Arabidopsis thaliana: one gene and its partner. Each later gene encodes a partner of the first gene's protein in a complex. Each region holds a gene or a part of one and is shown on either strand. Other genes may lie near its edges. A codon is read from its position in the direction of its gene.

Region 1 (4,964 bases):
ATATTACTAAAAATAACACTAGTTCCACACATATAAATTCCCGATCAACACCATCCATATTCCTCAGACCTGCAAGAACTTTAAAAAGCACAAAAACTAAATAAAAAGAAGAAAAGAAAAGCCTTTCAGGTCTCAAACAATGGAGATGAAGAAGATTGCTTGCGGTGTGCTTTTCGCTGCTGCCTCCATGACCGCCGTCATGGCTGCTGAGGAAGTCGGAGCTCCGGCACCAGGACCTGCATCCGCCGCCTCGGCTGCGTTGCCAGCTCTTGGCTCTTTGGTTGGAGCTTCCCTTGTCTCCCTCTTCAGCTACTACTTGCACTAAGCTATCTTTCATTATGTAATAACAACTCATTATGTGATCTTATTCATTTCCTATTTATTTCCATTTCACTTGTTTATTAATAAAACAGAGAAAGTAATTCAAGAATAAATTTTCTCTTCTTGATTATGTTCATTTTAATTTTTGACTACTGGTTTTTGAAATGTGGATGGTCCCTTGATTTTCAAAACTGGTTATTGGACAAATATTATAGCTTATAATAATGATTATAAAAAAATATTCAACATATTTGTAAATTAGTCATTACAAAATGTCATCAAGTGAAAAATCTTATGATTCACATTATGTTTCATAAGTTGTTGACTTAGACCAAAAAAAAGGAGAAGTTGTTGACTTTTGAAGTGACCTCGTTGACTTGATTTGTTCTTGCGTCTCCGACTCTCTTTCTTTCTTGTGTCCCTTTCTTCACAACTCACAAGACAATATTCTTTTCTGAGTTTAGAGATGTTGCGTCTGTTCAGAAAGAAGAAGAAGCAGAAGAAAGAAGAGGAGATCAATCTCCAGAAGAATGGGAGCTTACTGTTGGAAGAACTCATTGCAACTTCAGGAGGTATATACAATCCCATCCGTACGTTTTCTTCCGACCAAATCCTACAAGCTACAAATCACTTTGACTGGAACTACGTAATCTCTGAAGACAGATTCGTGTGGTACAAAGGCATGATTGAAAACAGACCCGTACTGATCAAGAAATTCCAAGACTGTTCTGTTTTCGACGCTGACAACTTTTACCGTGACATTGCTGTTTCATCTTTGATGAGTAGCCATAAGAATGTTCTCAAGCTCTTGGGGTGTTGTCTAGAGTTTCCTCGTCCGGTTCTCGTGTGTGAATATCCAGAACATGGAGCTCTAAACTGTATAAGATGTGGAAAAGAAGGCGTCCGGTCATTCCCTTGGAATGTAAGGTTGAGAATCGCCAAGGAGATTGCAGATGCTGTAGCGTATCTTCATACTGAATTCCCCAGGACTATAATCCATAGGGATTTAAAGCTTGCAAATATTTTCCTTGACGAGAATTGGTCCGCTAAGCTCTCTTCTTTCAGCCTCAGTATAGTGCTTCCAGAGGGTGAAACTGGCGTAAATGACATGGTTTGCAGGACATCAAGCTATATCGAGCCTGATTACTTTAATACAGGTTTGGTCACCGAGAATGTCGACATCTATAGTCTTGGGATCATCATGCTAATTATTTTGACAGGAAAGTCTGAATACAATTCAGAAGTCGCTGTTTATCTTCCTGTATTGCCTGTCTATGTTGGGAAGTTTCTGGAGCGAGGTTTGTTGACTGAACTCATAGACCCGTCGATATTGGACAGCACGAGTGATGACATTCCCAAGCATTCAAGACTGCAAATGGAAGCGTTCATTGAGCTTGCTTTTAGATGTGTAAGATTCAGACCAGGAGAGAACGTGCCTCGCATGATAGACGTTGCAAAAGAGCTTAAGAAGATAGAGAAACATATATGACCATGCAACCTTTTCTAATGCGACTTGAAACAGGTCTATCTATTATACAGGCTTAGTAGTGAAAATTGCAATCACTGTATCTTGTTTTTGATCGAGCTTTTATTAAATATGTTGTATGTAAGAATCTGAGTTTCCTTGCTACACAATGCAAGAATTGTTTACTTAGATTTATATAGTCCAAGCAACTGATACCTCTTCTTTTGGGCACCAAAGATGCTCCTATCTTCAGTCATGTTCTTGTGATGCCTACTCCGCGAAGATATCTCAATATCCAAAAAGTTCCTTGCGGATCTCTAGCTAGAATTTTTCAATGATGCTTCAATCTGCTTGAGTTCTTTAGCTACTTGGATCATCTTTGGTCTGTCTTCATCTCTCTCCTTACAGCATCTCAAAGCCAGCACCACACATGCTTCCACTTGCAACCTTTGACCACTTGTGATATCTTTCATCAACCTCGGATCTATCACTTCATCAAGCTTCCCATTCTCACATAACTCTCTCACTAAGCTAAGAATACCTTGGAGATCTCCATCAGAAATAGTCATGATAGCCGGTTTACCAGTAATAATAACCAGCAAACAGATTCCAAAGCTGTAGACATCTGTATATTCAGTCACAAAACACGTCTTATGATATAATGGATCGATGTACCCAAATGTTCCTAGAACCCATTCAGCTTCTATTCTCGATTTTCCCTCAGGTAGAGATATTGAGAAGGATAAATCAGACAACTTTGCGGTCCAATTCTTGTCCAAGAAAACATGCATCGGTTTAACATCTCTATGTATGATGATCTTAGGGAATGCCGTGTGAAGATAAGTCACCGCATTAGCAATCTCTTTCCCAATCTTCAACCGTACACTCCACGGCAATAAAGATTCTTCACCATTAACTATAACACCTCCTCGCTGATTCATAGCTCCATGTTCTGCAAATTCAAACACAAGAACCGGAAAAGGAAACTCGAGACAACATCCTAAAAGTTGAAGAAAGTTACTGTGATTACTCATCCGAGCAGACAAGACAATGTCGTTGTAAACCTCTTTAACTCTATGTCGTTTTCCTGTAATCTCATCCTCTGAGAATCTCTTGATCATGTAAGATCTATCTTCAATTTCACCTCTATACCATTTATAGTATACATCTTGCGAGACAAAACAGCTAGAATCGAAATTGTTGGTGGCTTTCAATATCTGCTCAGGAGAAAAACTGCGAATAGGAATGGATTTACCGTTACAATCAGCTACAAGTTCTCTTAAGAAGATGCTTCCGTTATCCAAGAACCACCTCTTCGCCTTGTCCTTTTCCTTCCTTGTCCCAGATCCAGATTTCAGATACTGCTTCTTCATTAGTTCCTTTACCAAAGTATCAACCTTTTGTTGGCGAGATGAATAAAGAGGACACCTTTCTTACCTAAAAGCTTCTGAAGTGTCAAAAGCCATTTCTTTTCTGATCCCAAACGACTCTCGGTTGAAAACGGTGTGTCATAAGAAAGGAAGAAGCAATAAAAAGTCTTGGGTCAAGTTTCTGGGCCTATAGAAAAATAAAGCCCAACTAAAAGCTCATAAGGTGGGAAAACAATATAAGCCCATCCAAAAGATAATAAGGTGGGAACACAAAATAAGCCTAACCAAAAAGTTTTCTACGACAGGCTGATGGATAACAGTTTGTATGGGATGTGAGGAGTCCCTATCAAAACACGTCAATGGTTGGAATTTGTTTCCAAATTTCAAATCGGGAAGAGTAGTAACTCAACATCTTGTATGCATTCAGATATTAAGTCTTTCTTGTTCAAAGAGGAAAACTGAAACAACAGTATTTGTTTGATGAAATCGATGGTGAAGAAGTTGAAGCAGAGTCTGAGATCTGGATCGTTAGAGAAAAGGAAGGAAAAGGAAAAAGACATTCAGGAAGAAAAGTGGTTCTTAGACAACGGAAGCATCTTCTTGAAAGAACTTATTGCTGATTGTAACGGTAAATCCATTCCTATACGTAACTTTTCTTCTGACCAGATCTTGAAAGCTACAAGTAACTTCGGTTCCAGTTGTTTTGTAACCGCAGAGGGGTTTTATGTATGGTACAAAGGTATCATAGAAGATAGATCTTACATGATCAAGAGATTCTCTGAGTATAAAGTTACTCAATACAGAGTAGCAGAGGTTTACAACGAAATTGTCTTGTCTGCTCGGATGAGCAACCACAACAACTTTCTTAAACTTATAGGATTCTGTCTTGAGTTTAGTCTTCCGGTTCTTGTGTTTGAATATGCAGAACATGGAGTTTTGAATCACAGAGGAGGTGTTATAGTCAATGGGGAGGAAGTTATATTGCCTTTGAGTTTAAGGTTGAAGATTGGAAAGGAGATTGCAAATGCTGTGACTTATCTTCACATGGCATTCCCCAAGATCCTCATACATAGACACATTAAGCCAAGGAATGTTTTCTTGGACGAGAATTGGACCCCAAAGTTGTCTGATTTCTCTATCTCTATAAACCTCCCTGAGGGAAAATCAAGAATAGAAGTTGAATGTGTTCAGGGAACAATCGGGTACCTTGATCCAGTATATTATACCACGAAAATGGTGACGGAATATACCGACGTGTACAGCTTTGGAGTCTTCTTGATGGTTATTCTCACTGGTAAACCAGCACTTGCATCCACTAGCTCTGATGGGGACTACAAACATATTGCTAGCTACGTGAAAGGCTTTCATGAGAATGGGCAGCTTGATGGAGTAATAGATCCTAAGGTGATGGAAGACATTACAAGTGCTCAAAAAGTGCATGTGGAAGCGTGTGTGGTGTTGGCGCTGAGATGCTGCGAGCTGAGAGATGAAAACAGACCAAAGATGATCCAAATAGCTAAAGAACTCAAGCAGATTGAGACATTATTTCGGAGATCATAGCTACAGATCCTCTCTGGTATTGTACTATAAAGCCAAGTTCCAGACTATGGAGTGAAAGAGATTTACAATGACATTGTCTTGTGTGACCGCATGAGCAATCGCAGCAACTTTCTCAAGCTATTAGGATGTTGTCTCGAGTTTCCTTTTATGATTCTTGTGTTTCAAGATGCAGAACTTGGAGTTATGAACCATCGAGGAGCTATTAAGGTTAATGGGGAGGAAACTTTACTGCCGTGGAGTTTGCAAAT
Region 2 (5,445 bases), 2.5 Mb from region 1:
AAGCTTGCAATAAAGACTTTGCCTTGCGTTGTGCTTTTCAGGTTTCGCCTCTTTCTATTCCTTCTTACATACAGGGTTTGTTGTTAGGTGTATACTCATAAAGTACGAGTTTCTTTACCATTCTTAGCAAGGGAGTTGCGATGGATAGGCTAGTTGGGTTCCAGGATCTGGGAACCAAGGACGATTTCACAACGAATAAACTAGAGAACGTTCTTCTTAAAAAGGGTATGAAGAACCTCGGTCCCACCTTTTTTTTATTATAACGGCCCAGTTAGAGAATTTTTGCTTAAAGAGTGCAAATCTTTAACAGGAATGCTCAGCAAGAAGAAGAAAGAGGAAGATGATGAAGACGCCGAATATCAAGAGAGCATACGGAGGTCTGTTAGGTCTTCAGAGAATCTGGACTCTGATTCTGACTGATCAAGCAGTTGACATCAAAGATCTGCCATTGCTGCTAGTCTCTGTTTTCCCTTTTTGCTCGTTTGTTATATGATTATTAGAAAAGAAAATTGCGATATGAAATCCAAACGGTCAAAGCAACATTACATTGTATCAAGGTATATGTAATACACCAACTTATTGTCACTGTTTAATAAACATTGATCTAGTTGCTTAAAACGTTTCATCAGGTTCTGTGCAATGGTGTTTTCATCCACACTCCGCCTCTAAAGCCAACATCTTCAATCGCGAAAGACTCTAGCTCTGGACACCAGTTTGCGGTCACGGTCCTCAGGTACGGCATTGACTGTTGCAGCACTTCCCAGTCCATGTCTAGGTCCGACAATGAACTTAACATTAAACCTTCAATTCTCCAGTGAGTATTCTCGTTTCCCCAGAATGGTTCCTGCATTTTCACCAAATTACCTGAACATATTGACATGTACCTCAACATCGGAAGCTTGTGAGGACTCAACCACGATGGACTCGACTTTCCAGGATAGAATTGTAGAGAAAGCTCATGGAGCTGGTGTGGAGGAGTAAGGGCGTCTATTTTGGTTATGAGATCATCGCCGTAGCTATCATAGCAGTTGATCGAAATGGACATCAGCTTGCTTAGGTTTATCAAAGAATCAAGCTCCTCCTCTTCTATCTGATCGCCACGAGTCAGAGAAAGACCAAGTTTCCGAAGGTTTGTGAGATTTTTCACTTCACTGAGCTTGCACCCATTGTTGGACCTGGCTGGCTTAAATCCCAACAGAACTTCGAGCTTCACGAGACTTCCGATACCCTTGGGGAAGCATTCAAGGGATCCACAGTTCGTCATGTCAAGTACAAGGAGTTTCTTGAACAAGACGATGCAAGGTTGAAGTTGTTTCAGATTCTGACAGTAGCTTGCGTCTAGAATCTGAAGGTTGTGGAGATCTTCCATGGAACGAGGAAACTGGATCAACGGATGTGTGTTGCTCAAACTAAGACATGCTAAGTGTTGAAGGCTTGCAATCTCATCCAAAATCTCAGACAGAGGAGCATCAAATATGGATTTCGAGATATCGAGAACCCGAAGATATTTGCAGTCTGTGAATTTCTTAGCTAAGTCTGAGTTGAGCTTGTTCACTTCACCTGTCTTAGTTGTTGACACTACGCCTCTCAGCTTATGGTTAACTTTGATCTGCTTCTCATCAAAGTTTCCACTAATCCCAAGGTGACGACAGTTGAGGCCTTCCGGGTTAGAGAACGAATCCTTCTTGGCTATATCGATCACCAAATCACGAACCATGTCATGAATCTTGCAAGTGATGATGGTTCCGCTATAGGTTTTGTCTACAACTTCTATTAGACACCTGTTTGTGAGCCCGGAAAAGCAGTCTTCTCCAGATTCAGTTGCAGATCTTCCGTTTCTCCACATGACAAAACCTTCTCCGATCCATCCATGTACTAGTTGTTGTTTTGGTATAACACAGTCTTCTGGATAGAGCGAAAGCGTGAGAATGCACGACTTAAGGTGGGAAGGGAGTTCATCGTAGCTCAACTGCAGAGAAGACATAACATTGTCAGTTTCAGAAGTGTTTCCTCTTAGCTCATCCTGAAAATGCTCTGCAATTCGTCTCCATTCATGATAGACATGGTCTTTGCACAGAAGTAACCCACCAACCGCTTTGATTGTCAAAGGCAAACCTTTGCATTTCGTTACAATCTCCTTGCCAACATCCTCTAGCTCGGGACGCTCACAAGTACCGTCATTTGCTGCAAATGCCACATTACAAAACAGCAGCCAACTGTTATCAGGACTAAGGAGCTCTGGACGGTGAGTCTTGTCGTCTCTCGCTTGCACCCTTTTCGCTACAGATTCCGACCTTGTGGTCACGATAACGCTACCTCCTTGTCCTCTAGGCAGTCCTTGGTAGATCTTGTCCCACCAGCTCAAATTCTTGTCCCATACATCGTCCATAACTATCAAGTACCTTTTCCCCAAAAGATACTGCTGGATTTTTCTCAGCAATGTTCCAATATCATCTCCAACACTCGCGTCCCCCAAGTTCCTCAATATGCTTCTCATGATCTGTTCTTCAGTAAAAGTCTGGGACACAGACACCCATATCCTTCTTTCGAAACGATGTTCGATCTCTTTGTCATTGAACACTTCTTGAGCGATTGTAGTTTTACCTAGCCCTCCCATCCCAACAAAGGCCATTATCAAAAGCTGGCTGTCGTTTGATCGAAAGAGCCACTCCTTGATTTTTCTTTTATCTCCTTCCAAACCAACCACCTGAGTATGATCATACACCGGAGAGCTCCACCGATCAGTTCCATTATCTCTTCCAACATTACTCGGCGTTATGAATTCGAAATAAGGCTCTACTTGACTCTTTATTTTCGTTATCCTCTCATTGATCTCTTGCAAACGTTTGCTTTTCTTGTACTGCAACGGAACCCGGGCAGGATGAAGCCGCGAAAGCCACGCATTTGATGACCTTTGCTCGTTCCCATCATCACCATCCGCGAGCTGACAATCCACAAGTATATCCTCAGCTTCGTAAACCAGTTCTCGTAAATCCGCAACAAGAGTACGCAACGTTTCATTAGTTCTCTTCTGCCTCTCTGCATCCTTGAGAAAAGACTGCATATATTTCAATTCGCTTTGCAAATCTTCCAACTGTTTTCGGTAGTCCGATACGGTTCGGCCTTTTTCTTCGAGGATGTTCAAGGTTTTCTCTAAAAACACTGTTACAACAGCGTCCACCATTTACTCAGACCCTGCAACTTCAAGAAATATCTCTAATTGGTAAACTATAACCAAGCAATAATTCAATCGGTTATGTGTATCATCACTAGATTGAACTTTCCAAAAATCAATCAACCAACGACTATAGAATCTCAATAACCAAAAGATTGGATTATTCTTTAACTAATCCATATCTTCTCAAGAAACATGTAGAATCCTAGAACATTGAAACAAATCTAACCAAAGTAAAGTAAACTTACAAGGTTGTGACTTAGCCTTAGCCGAGAAGGATCTGAAGCTTCAGATCTTTGGATTTTTTTAGCAAAACTTGTTTCAGAAAAATGAGCTTACATAGAGACTTTATCGAAATTGAAGTCAATGGTTTAACAAGTCAAGAGTCAACCTTACTCGTTTTCTTGGTTACTGCTGCCGACTACGAAACTTGTCTCAATCTACTTTAGAATCTTATCATTGAGTTTAGACATGTTCTGACCTCATAAAACAATATCCGCATTTCACTTAGGAAAAAAAAAAATGATTTCACTTTCTGTAACATTTTATAACCAATAATTGCATGATAGTGTTTAACAAAGAAACAAATAAAAGAACTAAATTTCTTCTAAGCTTTTGAATTATCTATTTGCTTCTTGGCTTTTAAGAACTCAACAAGTCCTTGGAGTACTTTATCCACAGAGTCACTCCTCATCAGTTGTTCAGCTACTTCTGCTGGTGTAACTTCAATTTCTCGGATAAATTCTTCAATCTGCTCGAAAAGTATATGATCTTGAATCTCGAGATAATTCGAAGCCAAAACCTTAAAAGCAGCTGGTGTGCAATACGACATGTGAATGTGCATGTCCATACGTCCTGGCCTCAACAATGCTGGATCCAATTTTTCTCTGTAGTTAGTCGTAAACACTATAATCCGCTCGTTACCACAACTTGACCATAGTCCGTCTACAAAATTCAATAGACCAGAGAGTGTGACCTGAAAATGACTAACCAAAACATTAGTAATGCTAATAAGCAAAAGATCACATAACAACATAACTGATAGTGAATCAAAATGCATCACCGTTTTATGTAACGGATCGTTGTTTTCTTGATCAGTAGACCGATCTTTTAACTCGATTGAACAATCTATATCTTCCACAACTAGAATGGAACGATTTGCAGTAGACATAAGTAACCTCCGTAGCTCAGCATTGTTGTTAAGTGATGTCAAGTCTAAGTCATAGATATCGAAGTTAAGATGATTAGCTATAGCTGCGATCAAGCTTGATTTTCCAGTACCGGGAGGACCATACAACAAATAACCTCTCTTCCAAGCTTTTCCAACTCTCCCGTAAAAGCCTTTCCGCTGCACGAATCGATCAAGATCCTCCACCAAGTTTTTCTTCACCTCGGGATCCAGAGCGAGAGTGCGAAACGTGGAAGGATGATCTAGAGTCACAGAGGTCCACTCCACGGAGTAAGAATCAACGGTGAAGATCTTCAATGTTTTAAACTTTTGTTTAATAGAAGCAGCTTGTTCCACAACAAACGGTAAATAAGATTCAAGAACCATGTTCTTGAACTTCTTTCGGAAACTAAGCTCGTAACTACGCACTTCTGATTTCAAAGTGGAGTTGAGATCTCTCGGGTTACGAAAATCCTTTTTATCGACATGGCGACATACAAGGATCCAACTAAGCTTGACGCCATCAAAAATATCAACAACTTCCTCATCACGTTCAACAGTAACACTATAATTGCTCTGTTTCTCAAGTTTGTTAACTTTGATTCTTCTAGTGGAATTAGATATCTTGGTGGAGAGATAAGCCTCTGCAGCTTCAAACACTTGGTTGTGTTCAAAACCTCCAAATTCTTCTATTACAGCTGTCATCTGATAAGAGAAGTAGCTGAAGAATCTGCGAAAGCCGTGAGAGATATATTCATGAACCTCGTTTGGCATGTAATCTTGAACCACTGATCGAGCTAGTATTGCGGCTGCAGCAACTGATGCAACCGCTGTGAGAGCTGTTTTGGCGGTGGCTAGATGAGATTCACTAGAGGAACTCATCTCCTTCAATCATCAAAAATAAAATAAATACATTCAAGTCGGTTCTCATAAATCAAAGAGACAAGAAACTAATCCAAAAAAAAATCTGATTATAGAACAATAGTACTGTATTTGTTACTAGGTTACGTGGGGATAAATCTGATTAGGTTAAACAAACGATGCTATTCTTTTGATAATTTTACGATGAGCACACAAATTGGAATCTTAACAAGTAAAAAAA

The links. Proteins that work in one complex are often made in the same cells at the same time.
Region 2: the proteins of AT3G57710 (region 1) and ZAR1 are in contact, whole or in part, in a cryo-EM structure (PDB 6J5W), measured with the Arabidopsis thaliana proteins. Residues at the interface, in NP_191330.1 of Arabidopsis thaliana: Phe23 (codon at 3,093), Leu24 (codon at 3,090), Gly27 (codon at 3,081), Ser28 (codon at 3,078), Leu31 (codon at 3,069), Arg32 (codon at 3,066), Glu33 (codon at 3,063), Val35 (codon at 3,057), Ala36 (codon at 3,054), Asn39 (codon at 3,045), Gly40 (codon at 3,042), Lys41 (codon at 3,039), Ser42 (codon at 3,036), Ile43 (codon at 3,033), Pro44 (codon at 3,030), Ile45 (codon at 3,027), Arg46 (codon at 3,024), Ser47 (codon at 3,021), Asp81 (codon at 2,919), Arg82 (codon at 2,916), Tyr84 (codon at 2,910), Arg98 (codon at 2,868), Lys102 (codon at 2,856), Ser115 (codon at 2,817), Asn116 (codon at 2,814), His117 (codon at 2,811), Ser118 (codon at 2,808), Gln122 (codon at 2,796), Leu123 (codon at 2,793), Leu124 (codon at 2,790); in NP_190664.1 of Arabidopsis thaliana: Arg214 (codon at 2,545), Arg235 (codon at 2,482), Asn236 (codon at 2,479), Leu237 (codon at 2,476), Gly238 (codon at 2,473), Asp239 (codon at 2,470), Ala240 (codon at 2,467), Val242 (codon at 2,461), Arg251 (codon at 2,434), Gln255 (codon at 2,422), Tyr256 (codon at 2,419), Leu258 (codon at 2,413), Ile483 (codon at 1,738), Thr541 (codon at 1,564), Gly542 (codon at 1,561), Glu543 (codon at 1,558), Val544 (codon at 1,555), Lys546 (codon at 1,549), Lys568 (codon at 1,483), Ser569 (codon at 1,480), Ile570 (codon at 1,477), Asp572 (codon at 1,471), Asn595 (codon at 1,402), Thr596 (codon at 1,399), His597 (codon at 1,396), Pro598 (codon at 1,393), Ile600 (codon at 1,387), Tyr619 (codon at 1,330), Gln621 (codon at 1,324), Asn622 (codon at 1,321).

What each region holds. Positions count from the first base shown.
Region 1 is NC_003074.8:21,384,130-21,389,093, forward strand, and holds AT3G57710 (Protein kinase superfamily protein), read right to left. Parts: upstream 3,271-4,964; 5' UTR 3,160-3,270; coding exon 2,104-3,159; 3' UTR 1,811-2,103; coding exon of another isoform or gene 788-1,810; 3' UTR 547-787; downstream 1-546. Other genes in the region: AGP23 (arabinogalactan protein 23), read left to right, coding at 140-325; AT3G57700 (Protein kinase superfamily protein), read left to right, coding at 788-1,810; AT3G57720 (Protein kinase superfamily protein), read left to right, coding at 3,637-4,716.
Region 2 is NC_003074.8:18,933,866-18,939,310, reverse strand, and holds ZAR1 (HOPZ-ACTIVATED RESISTANCE 1), read right to left. Parts: upstream 3,638-5,445; 5' UTR 3,424-3,637; exon of another isoform or gene 3,196-3,423; 5' UTR 3,185-3,195; coding exon 626-3,184; 3' UTR 512-625; downstream 1-511. Other genes in the region: PLP3a (thioredoxin domain PLP3A-like protein), read left to right, coding at 1-41, 128-225, 311-420; AT3G50940 (P-loop containing nucleoside triphosphate hydrolases superfamily protein), read right to left, coding at 3,783-4,151, 4,239-5,225.